Linked DNA regions of Astyanax mexicanus. The protein of the gene in region 2 binds, or shares a complex with, the protein of the main gene of each other region. Links are inferred from orthologs where the notes say so. Each region holds a gene or a part of one and is shown on either strand. Other genes may lie near its edges. The genes, in order: fzd8a and lrp5.

Evidence for each region.
Region 1: lrp5 (region 2) and fzd8a share a complex: the UniProt entries of both Homo sapiens proteins name them as parts of the wnt-signaling complex. The link is inferred for Astyanax mexicanus from reciprocal best matches to the Homo sapiens genes LRP5 and FZD8.

What each region holds. Positions count from the first base shown.
Region 1 is NC_064413.1:47,783,964-47,793,459, reverse strand, and holds fzd8a (frizzled-8a), read right to left. Parts: upstream 3,450-9,496; 5' UTR 2,936-3,449; coding exon 1,178-2,935; 3' UTR 565-1,177; downstream 1-564. UniProt on the Homo sapiens protein: Receptor for Wnt proteins. Component of the Wnt-Fzd-LRP5-LRP6 complex that triggers beta-catenin signaling through inducing aggregation of receptor-ligand complexes into ribosome-sized signalosomes.
Region 2 is NC_064417.1:10,262,668-10,271,617, forward strand, and holds the start of lrp5 (low-density lipoprotein receptor-related protein 5), read left to right. Parts: upstream 1-5,504; 5' UTR 5,505-5,697; coding exon 5,698-5,755; intron 5,756-8,950. UniProt on the Homo sapiens protein: Acts as a coreceptor with members of the frizzled family of seven-transmembrane spanning receptors to transduce signal by Wnt proteins.

The DNA.
Region 1 (9,496 bases), on a different chromosome or scaffold from region 2:
GAGCTTCTTTGTCTAAGCTTTAATGCAGTTCTGTCAGGGCTCACACTAAAGGTCCCTGGATGGGGGATTACTGTAAAGGGACCACCTGTAGGGGGGCCATTCACTCCCTCTCACGTCTGAGACTAAAACTCCACCATTAATAATACAGCTGAAGCTGGAGTAAGACGTTTTTGATGGCGCTCTCAAATTAGACATTAGACAACTTGGTGCATTGGCAGCAGGGAAGAAAAAAAAACTTCTATCTACATGTCACCTTTATTGGAGACTTTAAAGAGAGATCAAAGTTTCCCATAGATGAAAAGAGCCCTGTTCCCTGCATTTAAACCCCATTCACTCAGCCCCTCTTGGAGTAAATTAAGTGAAGAGCGCAACAATTATGGAGATTCTCCAACTCAAGCTCCTCGCCTCTAATTACGGCCCCAGATAGCTAAGAGCTAAGAAAAGCTTCTCTTTACAAGGCCCCACAAAAGAGCCCAGAACAAGCACCTTCAATAGGGTCACCCCCATAAAAAAGGAGAGGAAAAAAAAGAAAAACCCTCGTTACTCACCTAGAGACGAAAATACAAAAGTTTTAAGATTTCTCCAAATGTTTTATTGTCAAAATAAAATTCATATTTGTCTTCAAGTGACATCTACACTATATACAAATTTACAATAATTTTATAAATCTTTTTTGTACAGAATTTACAAAGTTTGTACACAACAATTGTATAAATACAATTTACAGAAAAGCAAAAAAAAACAACCCGTAAAATATTTGGGCACTAAGACTTTTAAGGCTTATTCGAGACAGTCTTTGATATTTTGATTGTTTAGACATTTCAAGCTGTCTTGCGCTACGTAAAAAGTGTAAAAGTGAAGCAACAACAACTTTTCCTTTAAAGGCTGGCTAAAGGATGGGGGCGAACGTCCAAACTTCACTTAAGACAGTGTGGTGCCCCGATTCTCTCTAGGCGTCACTGATTGCATGGCATGTCCATATCAATAGAATGGAAAGAAAATAATAATAATACCAACAACAATAATAATAATAATAATAATGACAAGTACCTTGTTTCTACCAGCCTTTCTTGCTGCTGGCCTAATAGAAACCATTAGCAGTCCATTTGTATGTTAATAAAGGGAAAGGCTAATGCATGACCTCCTCCAGGCAGTCAGCAGTCCATTGTCTTTTTATTCAGACCTGGGATAAGGGCATCTGTTTGGGGCAGGACACAGAGCTGGCTGTGCCTGAGCGCCATGTGAGCCCCGTGCTCACATCACTGTAAGTGGAGCCGCTCGTGCCTTTGCTGCCCCAGCAGCAGCGCGTGCACAGGGCCCGCCAAGAGTCCAAAGTCTTGCCTGACCAAATCCAAACACCGGACGTGATGCCCACAGAGAGGCACATAAAGTACTTAAGCATAAAGACAGCATAGTCAGGCCTCCGGAGCTCATGCTCCATCAGGCACGAGCAGTTGTGGCTGGTCTCCCAGCTTTGCCTGTTGTGCTGTTCATAAAAGTAACATGCCACAATAATGGTGGCTGGCACTGTGTAAAGTACTGTGAAAATTCCGATTCGGATCATCAGCTTCTCCAGTTTGTCCGTTTTAGTGCCACCTTGTTTTATAACGCTTCGGATCCTAAACAGGGACACAAAACCTGCCAACAGGAACATGGTGCCTATGAACAAGTAGATGACCAGGGGTGCCAGCACGAAGCCCCGGAGGTTGTCCAGGTTCTGGTTCCCCACGTAGCAAATCCCAGCCACAGGGTCCCCGTCCACAGAGCTCAGGGCCAAAACAGCAATGGACTTCATGCTTGGGATGAGCCAGGCAGCCAGGTGGAAGTACTGTGAGTAGCTGGCTATGGCCTCATTGCCCCACTTCATGCCCGCTGCAAGGAACCACGTGAGGGACAGAATCACCCACCAGATTGAGCTGGCCATGCCGAAAAAATAGATCAGCAGAAAGACAACAGTGCAAAGTGCAGGCCCTGTCGTCTCATAGTGCACATGCTCCACATCATACTCCCGGCTGCATGCAACCTTTTCGTGGCCCGCAATCAGTCTCACAATGTAGCCAATGGAAACAAACATATAACAGGCTGAGAGGAAAATGATGGGCCTCTCTGGGTACTTAAATCGCTCCATGTCGATCAGAAAAGTGGCCACAGTTGCAAAAGTGGACACAAAGCACAGCACAGACCACAACCCGATCCAAAAAGCTGTGAAAGTCCTCTCGTCTTGGGTGAAGTACGGGTTGTGGCAGGGCATGGCACAGTTGGGCATCTGGCCGGTCTTGACACGGTTGTACAGTGGGTGTCTTTCGCTGTTCACCCTCACCATGGGTGCACGGCACTGGCAACCCGGGTCACAGGGAGACCCAGGCTTGCGCTTGGGCGGCTGCACACCTGGCCGCCCGTGCTTGGTCCTGTGAGGAGGTACATGTGGCTTGCCCGGCCGTCCTGTGGGCTTGGAGAGCACAGGTGAAGCTGTGGTGGAGTCAGTCCGGTTGTAGTCCATGCACAGGGTGTCCGGGTCACCCTGGACTGGCAGCGTGTCACAGCGCATGCGGTCCGGCCAGGGGAAGCCGTACTGCCTCATGAGGGGAGCGCAGCCGGCCCGTGCCCGCTCACACACGCTGCGGCAGGGTGGCAGTGGCTTCTTGTAGTCCTCCAGGCAGATGGGGGTGTACATGCTGCAGAGGAAGAAGCGCAGGTCCGGTGAGCACTGGATCTCCACCAGAGGCCAGAACTGGTGCACCTCCAGGCCTGCTTCATCCTGGGTGTCATGGTTGAACTGGTTGGGCATGTACGTGTGGTTGTACCCCACTCCTTTGCACAGGGGTACAGCGATCTCCTGGCAGGTGAGCTCCTTGGCTGTGGTTCCGCTGGAGCGCTGAAGGGTGCCCAGGGCCAGGAACAGGAACAGGTAAATCCCCAACAGGTAGCACTCCATGCTCCAGCAAATCCTGCTCTGCACCTCTTAGTGACAATAGAGGAGAGCTGCCGCTGCTCCTGCTGGATGAGTCTACAGTCCACCAGTCCTTGCTGTTGTTATTGTAGGCTATTGTATGAATGCCCTGCAATAGCTTAAGTCCCATCAGATCTTCAGGCGCGATCCCATCACGCCGCACGGAGTTGCACCGATTTGCAAAACCGTGTAACGCGCAGGAGGCAGCAGAGGAGGAGCGGTGCGCGAGAGGGGAAAAACCGGACAGAAAAAAAATCACAGCCCCCTAGGCGTGTAGGCAAAATGGCTGAGGATATGCAGCCGTCTCGGAGCGCCGTCCACTTCGCCTTATTCCCTTATTCCCGAGCGCGCCGCGTCCTTCAGCTCGTTGCCGCCGCGCCGATTCCAGCGCGCCCTGGAGAAATGGAAGTTTACGCACAGAAGCTGAAGAATAAAGAGCAGATCCGCCGTCGGAGTGCATGCGGCGAGCTGACAAAGCCTCTCTCTCTCTCTCATACAAATCCGCGCACTGACTGGGACGCTTTGCCTATTTATGAGGACGGCTGCTAAACCACGCCCCAGCGCGGAGCGCGCCAATCAGCTCGCAACGGGGCGGAGCCCAGCAGCTCAGCCAGTCGAGTTTACTCAAGGTGTTCATTTGCAGCAAAAGCTGAGGGATAGTGTGTTTTCCTGCATAGGGTTTTAGATAGATGGATGGATTGATGGATGGATCTATAGGCAGATAGACAGACTCCAAATTCAAAATTAAAATATTGTAATTCAGAGCATTTATTTGCAGAAAATGAGAAATGATTGAAATAACAAAACAATGCAGAGCTTTCAGACCTCAAACAATGCAAAGAAAACAAGTTCATATTCATAAAGTTTTAAGATCTCATATATCAATATTATGAGGAATAACCCTGTTTTTTATTCACAGTTTTAATGCATCTTGGAATGTTCTCCTCCACCAGTCTTACACACTTCTTTTGGATAACTTTATACCACTCCTGGTGCACATTTTCAAGCAATTCAGCTTGGTTTAATGGCTTATGATCACCCATCTTCCTCTTGATTATATTTCAGAGGTTTTCAATTATATTAAAGGTAAAATAAATAATAGAAAAAAAACCTCATTTTTAAGTGATCTCTTATTTTTTCCAGAGCTGTAGGTAACACTTTATACCTAAACCTTAAATCTAAGCATAAACCTAACACTAAAATGTTAAGATTAGAGTTCTGATTAGAGTTGGATGTAGGGTTACATTTAATAAAGATACATTTACTTTCAGTTGCATTTAATATACATGCAGTTAAATGTAATTTGAATGTCAGTTAGCATCTATGGGACATCTATAATTGACCACTTAAATTACGAGACATCTAAAAAAACATATAAAAAAACAATATTGTGTGTATAAACCTGGATTTACACTAATCGGATGAGCAGATTTTTAACCATTTTATCCAACAAAGTCACACTTTCATCTGAAACCAGCTACCAGCAGAAGCTGGTCTTGAGCATTTTTCAATATGTATTGATATTTTCTTTAAAATACTGTATATAAATTCTGCAGTTTTCCTAGCAGTTATGTTTGCTGCAATTCAGCCCCTATTTATCACATAACATATTTCTACTTCTACTTCTACTACTACTACTACTACTACTACTACTACCAATAATAATAATAATAATAATAATAATAATAATAATAATAATAATAATAATAATAATAATAATAATAATAATAATGAGACACACTTTCCTGCTCTATTGTCAGAAAACAGCTAATTTGCTGTGAGTAAGAGCTTTCTATCGGGTGATGCGTTCATTAGCACATGCTAAGTGGTCCCGCGAGGGGGGCTGCTGGTTGTCCTGCCTTGCAGCATGGGGTGTTTAGTTTTGTATTGATGTGCTGATGGGGGGCTTAAATGCTTGCATGGAACTCACGCAGGGGGGCGTAATGACGGGGAGGCCAAGAACAAGCAGAGAAGTTTGTTAACAGTGGCAGAGCAACAAGAAACCACCCCCCATTCCACACTGTGTCCTCCCTGCACTAACAACTCATTATCACTGAGAGGAACTGGAAATACACCGTCTAGCACTGAGTCACGACCAGTCAAGTTTTGGTCCAGTCTGGAAGACAGAGCTTCGTTACTTGTTCATACAAGACCCGTCTGAGACCCATTAACTTCTCTTCTGGACCAATAACCTTGCTATAGTTAATGGGAAATATAGCTGAAATTAATTAAAATGATTAAAAGGTTACATATTTTTTTTTACATATTTTTACATATTACTTTATTATAAAGGTAGATATAGGTAATGTGGTACATTACAAAGGCAAACATAGTTAATGTGCCATATTATAAAGGAAAATATAGGTCATGTGCGATTATTTAGAGGTAAATATTGTCAATGTATATATAATATAGTTAGTGTGAAATATTACAAATGTAAATATAATAAGAATATTTATTTAAGTATATGTTACAATGCTAAACACAGTTAATGTGACATACATACAGGTATACATAGATAATGTGGCATAAAACAGAGGTAAATGTAGTTAATGTTTCAAATAACAGATGGAAATACAGATACTGTGTCATAATACAGAGTTAAACATGTCATATTACACAAGTATGATTGTGTTTAATCAGCTCTAGCCAAAGGTCTTCACCAACAAAACTAGCTGAAACCTAGTAAAGGTTTCTATGTATGAAATTGTACTTAAATGTGAACAAAGGACACATTTATTAGAAACCACATTAACTTCCACTTCTAACATAGAAACTCCACATCAACAATCATGTAATAACAACCCACAGATAAAAGATAATAAATTAAAGGCTTTTTTTCCCATTGATCTACACTTTGTTCTCATTTCCTCACTCTTTCATGCTTTAATGTGACAAAACATCAAACAAATCTAAAAATGTGTTCGTCCTTCATCAATGAAGTTGAAAGTTATTTTAATGTTCATCATCAGGTCATAATAGGGTTGTAATACACATACATGAGTATGGGGAGGGCCTTGTTTTGGACGGGGGAGGGGGGCTCCTCCCCTCCCCCTCCCTTTTCCTTGAAAACTCAGTGTATGTGGCCAGAGTGCATGAAATGATTATCTAATTTCCCTGAGCACAGGGAACAGGTGTGTATTCTGAGGTCCCCACTGAGTGTGGCAGATGAAAAAACGGCATCGCTTTCACTGATTATGCGTATTATTGGCAGAGCCCATATTGATTAACAGAGAGATAGACCCCACTCTAGTCTCCAGCAGTCGGAGCGTAACCTCTCCCCCCTCCCGGTGGAGGCCCACAGCAGGCCCGGCTTGGGTTACATGGTGCCCGGGCATTCCTCAGCACAAATGGAATTAGTGCATCTGTTCGAAAGTTAATTTTCAAATCGCCATTGAGTCACTCTATAGAAAGAGAAAAGACTGCGGCTGGGGCCAAGAGGGGGAAGCGCTCCTGCTCGAGTGTCAGTATGAGCGGGAAGAAAAGCTCAGCACTGTGGAAAAAGTCTGTTCTCGACTATTAGAACGTACTGAAACATCTGGGAATTAATTCAGTTAATTTACAGCAAAATACAAATCTGCCTGGATGTTTAAACCGTGTGTAATCTTAATATTCTGTATACCTGCTGTGTCCTAAATGTCAAAAAAAGTTCCCAAAACAATATATGTATCCTGTTGGTGTATAGGTTTCATGGAAGTATGAACGAAAACAACATTTCACTTTCTTTAATACTGGAGAAACTCTAGGAAAAGTAATTAAAAGTAAAAAAGAATAACCTTATGGCAACACAAGGGTTAAAAAATGGTAAAAACAAACTACAATGGTTTAATACTAATGTAGGACAGTGGTATAGTGCACATTAATTTTCCACAAAGTTTATACACTAAATACTAACACATTGTTGAGTATGTAATTTCAGTAATTTAAACAAAAGATTTCATGTTTCTTCTCTTGGTCAACATTTTTTACTCTCTAAAATAAAATGAAAACTGAATAATTCATACAAAACATGGATATTGTTAATAAAATCAAATCACAACAAGCTGGCATGTTAAAAATTAAGGGAATTTATTTAATGCAACTGAGAAAATAAGTGCAAAATAAAAGAAAATAATGATAATTAAGGAACTTCAATTGACAATTGAAAACTTTTCATACTTGAAATACCCCCAGAATTTAAAAAAAAGACCAGGTAAAAAACAATAAAAACGTGCCTATTTGTGCTTCTAATATGTAAACAATTGAAATTAAGCAATTGTGTCAAACAAAAATGTGTAATTAGAAAAATGTGTTTATCTTGGTCACTCCCGTAGACCCGTAAAACCCATAACCTCAGCCTAATCTAATGCTGTTCAACATGTTAATGACACACTCGGCATGCCTGTGTGTTTGCCCATTAGCATAGTATGTATTCAAAGGGCAAACAATGTGATTAGGTCTGATTATCTTTATAGGAATGGGCTGCATATTAGCAGTGTTTACATTTTATTAGCCCTCACATACAGGCTGTCGCCCTGCGCCGTGTGTATTGGTGGCCAATCAGGACTAATTTCAGCTCACACTCTGAGTTTGGATAATTTTTTTGTTTATCAGGGTTGTAGAAAATATAAGCAGAAAATGTGACTTTATAATAGCCAGATTATTTCATTTTGGAACAATTGTTTAGCTGGGGCATTAGAGAGAGAGAGAGAGAGAGAGAGACATTAATACGGTCTGCTTATGGTGGTCAGGTAATGATTCACAGTGAGTTAGAGCTGTGGAGGTCTCGGTTCAGATTTATGGCTGATGCTGCAGTTACTGAGTGACAGAGAGCATGTGAATATTGTTCCTCAGACCTTTTCATCTCAAAACAATAGACCCAAGGTCAAAGAGATACACTATTGTAGAAATCAGATTGAGCTCTCTGTGCTGTGACTATGTGTATTCTGTATGCTTTTGGAGTGTGTAGCGATTCTTGCTGTATTTATATTAATGTCTTCTACTAGAACAGGGGTTCTCAACCTTTTTAATGGTCAATAAGTCACAAACAGCTTTTATAGAATACAAACCACACTTTTTTGCCTTCAAAATAGCCTTTAAAGCCTATTTAAACATAGCTTTCAGACCTCAAATAATGCAAGAAATATAAAACAAGTTCATAGAGTTCAGAAATCAATATTTGATGGAATAACCCTGGTTAATCACAGTTTTCATGCATCTTGGCATGTTCTCCTCCACCAGTCTTACACACTGCTTTTGGATAACTTTATGCCACTTCTGCCAAACTGCAGTTTTAAACAAATTTTTGTATCATACCAGTTTATTCAGTGCACATTTATCATTGTATTGTTGCTGCATTTAATGCTGGTATACATATGCTCAAACTACACATGTCTATGACAAATATACATATAACCTTGTATCCCCCCCTGCATTTTTGACACAATATAAAAGCTCTAAAATGACTTAAAATAAAACTGACTATTGAAATTTGGTGACGAGATGAGATGAGGTTTTTCTGGTCAGGCAGAAATAAGCTATATACAACATATTATATAAATAATAATAAATAATAACAATATAAATATAACTTCTAAGTTAGTCTTATTAATTATTAGTCTTCATTTCATATTACGTTAGTTAACAACCCAGTTCCTACTGTTAGTTTTATGTTAACTACAATGAAACTACAATGTTATTTACAAATGAAAGAACCTAAATGTATGTAATGTTTGTGAACAACTGAGCAGGAAAGTCCTTTCATCTGATCTTTTCATCTTAAAATAATTCACCCAAGATCAAACAGCTTGAGAGTGTTTGTAGTATGACAGTTTTCATTCAGTGTACATCTCTTAGATCATGTTAATAGATTTCAACGCAGTATTTTAATAATATATTCTAATATATAAGCTCACATATACTATTTATACACATATTTTATCATAAATGAGTAATCTATTGTAGCTATAACTATGATAATAATGTGTAAATGTAAGAAATTCACTTGATTATTGTGCACATTTCTAATCTTTGCAATGAACAAGCTTTAAAATATAACTATTAGGTATCCTTAAAATTTGCTACAGCAAACGGTTAATAAATTATGTTTATAACACACTAGTGATGGTTAATCTTTGAGGTACAGTAACATAATACATTTTAAATACAAATTCAAAGGTATTTGAGGGAGTTTTGAGTATTTCTTTTAATTAATTAATCATGGTTTATAATTACAATGTAAGAGACAGCTGTTGTGTTTATATAATGTAAAAAAAATCTTAATCTTTAAATTATCTTGCACTTTAATTTTAAACATTAGAAACGTAAAACAAAAAACAAAAATTCTCCCTGAAATAAGATAGTTTCACTTATACGTTACTAAAAAACATGTAAACAGTTGAGAGGAATTACAATGAATAATGGTATATTTATAATAATCATTATTATTTTAAAAATATATTAGAATAGGTGTTATTAAATATGTTGTCTACATAGTGAGTTTCACTTGCTGCGTTATAATTTCATGCAGTGTTAGCATTTAAAATGTGTGTATATTGCCAATAAACA
Region 2 (8,950 bases):
CTCAATAAGGTTTAGGTCTGGAGACATGCTTGGCCAGTCCAGCACCTTTCCCCTTCTTACCTTTTCTTTAACAAGGCAGTAGTTATGTTGGAGGTGTGTTTGGGGTTGGTATTGTATTGTATTGTTGGAATACTGCTCTGCGGCCCAGTTGCTCTGCTTTAGTATGGCAAAGTACAAGTTCGCTAGGGTAGTGAACTGTAGTTCCCCACAGCCGGCGGCACTCATGCAGCCCCAAACCATCCGTGCAGGCACGCAACAGTTTAAGATGTTATGTTGATGTTTTTTTTTTTGTAATCTGAAATCATGACCAACATTCAAACTAAAATTAACGTCTATTGACGTTGGTGGCCAGCTGGGATGACAATCCACCACCTTGCTGCCACCGTTCTGTGGCACAGTGTCAGGGTCATCTTTGTGTAGAGCAATAATCCTTTTTTTTAAATCCTCAGAGAGTTATTTGCCATGAGTTGCCATGTTGAACTTCCAGTGACCAGTATGATAGAGTGTGAGATAACTCTCTTTTAAATGCACACATAGCATTCCTTTTTTGTGTAGAAAACCATTACTAATACAATAGGACTCTCTGGAGCAGATGAACATGAACCTATTGGCACTTTACCCAATGCCATGTTTGATCTAACGGGACCCTACAGCGTTGAGATATAGAGCAGTGGAACTGTGTTCTCTGAAATAATGGTGCTCTATACCATACCTATGGCATGAGTTGGGGAGTTGGCAGTGAAGTGAGGTACGGATCATCCATCCAACATTCTGACCTCATTAATGCTTTTGTCACTGAATGCAATCTGAACCTCACAGCAAATGCTCCAAAATGTAGCAGAAAGTTTTCCCTGTAAAGTAGAGACTGTTACGCTAACAAAAGTAGGATAAAATATTTTTAATATTCTTGTTTACAGTTGAATGTTCATAGAAGAGTCCAGTGTATGATGCGTGTGTATATGAGGTAAAGGGGGGTTGTTGTTTTTGCTGAAGTATCTCTTTAATATTTTATCTTCTGTTATAGAAAACAATAGCATTCCTGTTTTCTGGCCGTCTGAAGCAGCAGGAAATCAGGGCCTTTTGGGTTATGTGACTGTAATATTAAAGTGATGTATTGTGGGTAGTGGTAGGTGGTTGAAAGGGTGTTAGCGTTGAGCTTGCTGACGTTCTGCTGCAGGAGGCCGTGTGTTTTAGAGAACCTGTTCCACATGGCCTTCATTACCTCACAAACTATGTCTTATATTCAGTCTTGGCAGCGATTTGGCCGGCAAGCTCCAGCTCTGAGGCGTATAAAACACAAACTGAGGGAGAGGGAGAGAGAGAGAGTTTTATTTGTGGACAGGGCCTGGTGGATCAAAGCAAGCGCCGCAGGCCTCTCTGCACAGGTGACCGTAAAGACAGGTTTCATTATGGCATTTTTCTCTGGGCTCTGAATCACTGCCCACTCCTCTCACACGCACCTCTCTTTACCTCCCTCCCTCTCTCTCTATTTCTCACCCTGTTAAACCCAATCACTTTCTTTCTCTTTTTCTTTCACCCTGTCTCTCTCTCTTTCCCTGTTTGACCTCTTGCACTCTTTCTTTCTCTCTCTCTGACTGTTTTAACAACAAGGGTGGCAAATGTTTAACCATCTTAACCAGCAGATATGTTTAATTGACATAAATAACGGTCATTAAAAAAGTCTTAGTAAAAAAATATACTATTATCACTAATATTACTACTAGATGTGATAGTAGAAGTAGTAGTAGTGATTGGCGATAAGTCAGACCAAGGATTTGTTGCCGAAAGACATTCCTCGGAAACCCTTGCTGTGTGTGGGTGAGCATTATCCTGCTGAAAAATAGCAGTTAGAAGCCCTGCTATGAGAGACAACACCAGTCTGCAGGATGTCCTACACATATCTCTGAGTTGTTAGTGTCCTTCATATCACTACTAGGGGTGACCGCTTGTTGTATGAATTGGCTCCCCAGATCATCCAACCAGCAGCCGGGGCAGAGTGATGCTCCACAGCAAAAGCAGGATTAAAGTGTCACTACAAGGCTTTCATACTTAAAGCCCCCATCGTCAGATCCCATACAGAACCTGTTTTCAGCATTAAAGATCATACAATTCTAGTCCACAGCACTCCAAGTGTCCTGTTTACCTCATCACTGGAAGTCACAGAGAGAAATAAGACTTAAAGATTCTTCTTTAAAGGGATATTTCACTTACCCAAATCATTGGACCCAGGTTTCAATCGCTTCCATGGCCACAGGTGTATAAAACCAAGCAGCTAGGTATGCAGAAAGCTTCTACAAACATTAGTGAAATAATGGGTCTCTCAGGAGCTCAGTAAGCTCCAGTGTTATACCCTGATAGCAACAAGTCCAGTCATGAAATGTCCTCACTACCAAATATTCCACAGCCAACTGTCAGTGATATTATAACACAGTGGAAGCGACTGGATATGAAAGCAACTATCTCTGTTAGTGTGCAGCATAGTGTGCAGAGGTCACCAACTTCCTGCAGAATCAATCACTGCAGACCTTCAAACTTAATGTGGTCTTCACATTAGCTAAAGAACAGCAGAGCATTAGGAGCTTCATGGAATGGGTTTCCATGACCGAGCAACTCCATGTAAGCCTTTTACCAAAGACTGCATTGCGCAGGTGATTGGATACTTAGTAAATGTAGAAGAACTAAATTATTTAACATTTTTGTACTTAAGTATTGCATGTAGTTTATTGTATAATGTAGTACTGGAGTACTGCAAGTAAAAGAACAGTACCGTGTTATATGTTAAGCAGTTGAAAGTTCTCAGTGAAAGGAGAAACAGGAGCAACAAGGTCTTCTTTTAAGATCTGCTTGATTTACACAATGATGAGAAGCTTTGTCAAACCTGGAGACAGTGCAGAGGATCTACTTATCTGGCTTTAGTGATAATGTGGGTTTGAAACATTTTTAACTTTTTTAGAATGGTAACGAGCATTAATGCAGCACATAAAAAGGTATACAGTACAGATGCAGCAATTTAGTACTTAAGTATTGTATTGAATTAGTTCTAGAATAGTAAAACCCTCTAGCATTGAGCTGTGAAGCAGTGTAACTTGTCTCTGGATTTTTTGGAAAATTATGGATGAGGTGGAGTAAACAATAGAGGCAGTTACTCTAACAAAAGCAGGATAAACTAAAAAAAGAAGTAGAAACAACAAATAAGCAGGTGTCCTAATACTTTCTGCCATTATAGTGTTTTTGATTTTTATGTTGCATGTTTGTCTGTATGGACTTTCAACGTAGTGAATATTTCATAAGCGGACCTTATTACATATATTTTATACTCCTGGCCTAGATGGCAGACAGTGTGTCAAAATGACCATCCTGCTTTTCTCATTTTAATGATACAGTTCAAAAACATGCATCATAAAGGCATGCCTACCAGTCACTGATCTCTCACAAAGAGGTACACTACCCAAAAGCAGCCTCTGAGAGCCAAAAAGGCTTAAAAAAAAGCCTAAGAGCAGGAGGAAGAACCACTGAGAGAAACTGAGACTTAAAAGAGAAACCAGTCATGGTCTTATTCACTTAGTCTATTTATTGCTATTGCTTAGTATTTAAGACTAATTCTGTCTGCCCTGTGTTGTACCACATTCTACAGCCCGTTATCATAACAAGCTGAAAAAATAGAACTTCATCGCCAAGAAAAGCGATGGCAACAAAGGAGTAAATGGTTTATCATTACAACTTTTTTTAAGAATGTGTGGGAATTTGAACAGTTCAATTCAATTTAACACAGTTTTGTATAATTAATACATTTAACTGTGTTCAAACCAAGTCTTCCTGGCAAAAATGGGGATTTTTAGATGCTTCCTCTAATTGCAGCATCCTGTGTCATCACTAAATGAACTTCTCTGTTTCAAATATATTTTTATTATATCTTCCTTATGCTTGAAAGTTCCAGTTCCTCTTTGCAATGGAAGAAGGGTCTATTAATGGCTCTGAAACACTCCTTTGCTGCATTCTAAATAAGAACTACACACTAATACTGTAAAATGTATATACTAGTAACAATAACAATAACAAGTTCTCCAGGTGAATTTTTACAGCATTTGCATTGTTATCTGCCAGTGTAATTTTATAGTACTGTTTTAGACATAAGTAGCTTCTCCCTATTCGTTTTGCATTGCATTATGGGATATTTGCACTCAAAAACAGACCAGTTCCACTTTTATCTGTACTACACATTTCACAATCAAAGACTGATAACATACTGATTAATACACAAATGGGATATACTGAGAGTAAACGCAGCATGAATGATCATAGTTAAACTGCTCTGGGTTGATTGGTGGGCAGTCAACCATTAATCTGTTCATGGATGTAATCTCATAGCTACAATGTGTAAATTTTTAGACTCAAAGATCTGCACTACACTTCTTACAAAAAAAAGCAAGGACATTTTATTTTTTCCATTTTTTACTAGTAAGAGGCCTTGGAGCCTTGGAAATCTGAGACTGAAAGCTTATCAGAGAAAAGAAATCCTTGTAAAGAAAGTTGTTCTGCTGTCTAAACCAAGTCAATCAATTTATAACTTTAAACTGAACTTTAACCCCCTTAATCTGGCTCAGACCTGCAAAAGGTAGACACACACACACACACACACACGCACGCACACAAATGCACACAAGTCCTCCATGTTTCCCAACCCGTTTCCTGGCAGTCTCTTCTCTGTTGGAGAGAACCACATCCAAAATGTCTCTTCCCAATAACAACATCTCCTTCAATACCTTCAGATACCCTGTTACCTCAGATCAGATTCAGATTAATTTCAGCTCAAAATTACACTTCACTCAGTTTTTGTTTCAAATTAAATTTCGCTTCGATTCAGATCAGCGTAGATCAGATTCAAATTTGACTCGATTTAGATTAAAGTCAACCCAGATTAGATTTAAATTCAGTTTAGATAATAATTATGATAATAATAATAATAACAACATAATAATACAAAAATATTTAAACACTCTTAGCAAGAATAGCTACTAATATTTGTTTTATAACAACCGTGGAAACCATTTGATGCTTGATAAAAATATCTTAACATCTTAAACATATCAATATTTGATTTAGATTTTTTTTCAGATGAAACCTTTTTAATGTTTTTAAAATATCTTTATCTTAATCAAACATTATCAGTTTATATTGAATTACGCAGCTATTTGCATGTTGCTCTGGGTTTAATCCGCTTTAAATGGTTGTATCTAGAGTTGTATTTTTCACGCCGGAGTTGTGGCGGCTTTTTATTTCCCGCCCGTATTCAGGAAAGTCCCGTCTCCTCCGTGCCTTGATTGGCTCACTTGGAGCTCGCAGTTCTTGCTCATGCGCAGAGACACCTCCCGTTGTAGAAGGACGAGGCTGCGCGCGAGGGCTCTGGCAAGTGTGAACTCCGAGCGCCAATTACATTGCAGGGGGCGGGGCCTCTCCCCAAAACAGGTGCAAAAAGAAAAATCAGTACGATCCCAGGCGCTGACGTCAGAACCCGTTTCCGCTGTCATTCCCTGTAGGAGCCACACAGAGAGCGCGGTCCTGTGTTTCTCTCGGACGGAATAAAAGTACTTTCGCGGTTCCAAGGCGGACTAAAAAGTTGCTTTTGGACTTTTCTGACCCGCCAGCCACCCGAAACATGGATTTGAAGCCGCGCAGCTGAAGCGAGGACGGCCCGAGATGGAGCTTTTATTCGCGCAGCTGCTGCTGCTGAGCTGCGGTGTGACGGTGCTGTGCGGTGAGTGAAGGACTTTTGTTCACATTTTGTGCTGAAAATCGCTGCTAAAAGTCCCGCAACTCGGATTAAAGCCGTGTAAACAGCGTACAAGTCCGTATAACACGCATCTAAATACTAACACATGGAGGAACCGGTTTCTAATTCGGTTTAAAACTGGTTTAAACTGTGATTGTGTACTTAGTGGACACTTTCTGGGAGGCGGATTTGCTGAAAATGCACTGAGAAAATGGAGCTGCAGGAGTTGTAAAAGTGATCAGAAACCGAATTAAATGTTATAAAACACGATATTGGTGTAAACGACCCTATTTGGGAACAGATGAAAAAAATGTAAGGTATAGTTAGATGGTAATCCTGAAGTTAAATTGAGCATTTTTATACTCTATAGTTTGTCACCATAAAAAGAAGTACAAACGTCTTTAAACACAGTTATAATGATTTTTAAAAATCGTATAAACCTGCATATACAGTTAAAAACAAAGTTGTTATAGAGAAAACACAATTAATAGAATAACTAAGCTATTTGCTCTATTCATGAGTGCCAAAACAATCACTTTTGATTCAGTTCAGCTCAAATTTAATTCAGGTTCTGATTCAGATTAGAGTTACATCAGTTTTAGTTAAGATTTAGCTCAGATTTGTCCATTTGAGTTGGATTAACATAGATTGGCTCAGATTTGGTTCAAAGTTCATGTAGATTTGCCTCAACATAGGATTTATTTACATTAGGACTTAAATCAGGTTTATCACGGGTTTTATTTTAAATTCTGTTCATTTTTTTTAGATTCAGCTCAGCCTAGCCCAGATTCAACTTTAACTTTAAATGCAGCTTAAAATATTAAATACAGCTTAAGATCAGCTGGATATCCAGAAAAAAAAACCTACACTGTGTAAACTAATCTCTTTAATTCAGATTTTAATATTAAATGTGGTACCAAAATTTAAATACTTCTACAGCACATACACTTCACACACATTCAAGCTGAATTCACTAAGACCAAAAAATGTGGGAAAATAAACATTTCCCAAGTGCCCTGCTGCATGTTTAAACTGGGTTCGGTTACTTTTAGGGTGGATTGAAGCCTTGCTGCTCCACAGCTGCTGTGGAATGTGTAAGTGTGTAAAAACGTGTACATGTGTAAACTAAAGTTTTATTCAGATTTAGGGGTAGTGTTTACTGTTTTACCTCAGATTTACTCTCTTATTCTGAAGTATGGACACAAGGTGTTTGGTTACTTTAGTGATAATGAGGCTGAAGGGTTGACTGCCTGGCCTTGGTGTCGAATAGCAGACTCAGAAGTGCACACAGATATAAAAAGGGGGAGAGTAGTATTTTGTGTGTAAATAAACAATTACACACTATCAAAAATAGTTTCTTTTTAAAATAGGTTAAATATCAGTTATCTGATATTTTAAATTGGATAAATCTGGACATATTACATTTGATCTCAGAGAGTGAAGTGTGTTCAGTGCTGTTCAAACATCTGATTTCATTTAATGAAAAACAGATTAGATAAACTGAATATTAGATGGGAACTGGGAATACTAGACACCTTTCAGGAGAGCAGTACAGAAATAACAACAAACAGCTTTATAGATTATTTTCTCAGGTTGTTAGGATTTTACTGTGATTTAATGACCCAAGGTGTATTTATTCATCAACTTCCTTACTATTTTTCCAGTAATAATATTTGTGTTGATTTATTATCCAAAAACAGAATACATTTTTGCACCAATCTCTTTATCCCGTACCGTGACCCACGCTATTACTTTTAGACTGATATGTAAATTACCTATGTTCTGACTGGCTGCCTAATTTAAAAGGCACTCTGAGCTGAAACACTCCTTATAATGTGAGTGCGTGTGGGCGGAGCTGAACTGATGTAGACTGAATAGGCAGATATACAATGATGGAATGCATTGTGTTTTTTGTGATCTCTCCAAAACAGTTTGTACAGAAGGACTGGGGTATAAATGGTATGCCAAAAAGGGTTCTTGACTGAAGCAAAATGTGTTGTTAGTATTCTTTGTGTTGATGGAAGATGATTAATATAGAAATATTTAAGAAATGGTTTAATGGAAAGCACCAAAAAAGGACAACAAATATTTTTGCAGTGCTATATTGAAGCTTTTTGTCTAGAGTGTGGTTTTAAGCCATTTTAGTTAAGTCTTCTATTTAAAAAGCACTCTGTGGTTTTCTGTCATATGGGCTCTTTAATCAGAACTGATTTGTTGAGTATCGGGAGTGAGATGGCTGGACTCATTGAGATACAGGACTGTGCAAAATGTTAGTCCCCTGTGAAAATCTAAATGAGACCCCCTTTTTTGGGTAGTTTGTGATCATTTTTTTGTTAGTCTTTTAGTCTTTTTGGCTTTATTTTTTTGTTTTGTTTTATGATGTGCAGAAAAAGATCACATCATACATCACTGTTCATTAAAACATCTCTAAAGTTCTTTTCATGGGAGTCTAGTAGTAGTTTGATTTGTCCCCAACACCTGGTTTGGTAAATCAGTGATTATTGATGTTAAACCAGGTGAGCTGGTGGTGGAATTGAAGACATCTACTGGGGCGTTGGCTGCGGGTGTCCAGTAGAAATCTGGACCTGAGCTTTGTTCTTTAGCTTTCTCACAGGAACTTCAAAATGAGAAATTCTTGTTACTTTTTTACTTTTTACTTTTAAATTATATGATTAGATTTTGGGCCCTGTCATTGTGGTAGGTTAACATGTTGCACTTAAGCCTGTGAACAATTTCATAACTAAAAGAAAATTAAATGCTTACGGTTGCAGTGTAAGGATAGAGCATGCAATACTTGCACACTAAGCAACAAGAGTCTGTATTGTGCTGAAAAAGAGAACAGTACTGAACCCAGACCCAATACTGGTGCTGTAGAACCATTTTAAATTTTTAAATGGGGGGGGGGGGGGGGTCTTTAGGGGTTCTATGGTGAAGGATATTTTTACACTGAAAGTCCAATCCAAGGTGGATGTTTTTTGTACTAGGGCTTGATATGAACCGTATGAAAGCCACAACCAGTGACATGTTTCGTCTTGCCTTGACCTTGCCAGTAGATCAAGACCGGCAGTGTCTGAGGCCGAGACCAGATTAAGTTATTTTTTATCATATAAATAGAAAATGCAGAAAAATAAATAATCTGTTAATAATGGTGTAAAATTGCTGTTAAAATACACTGTCATC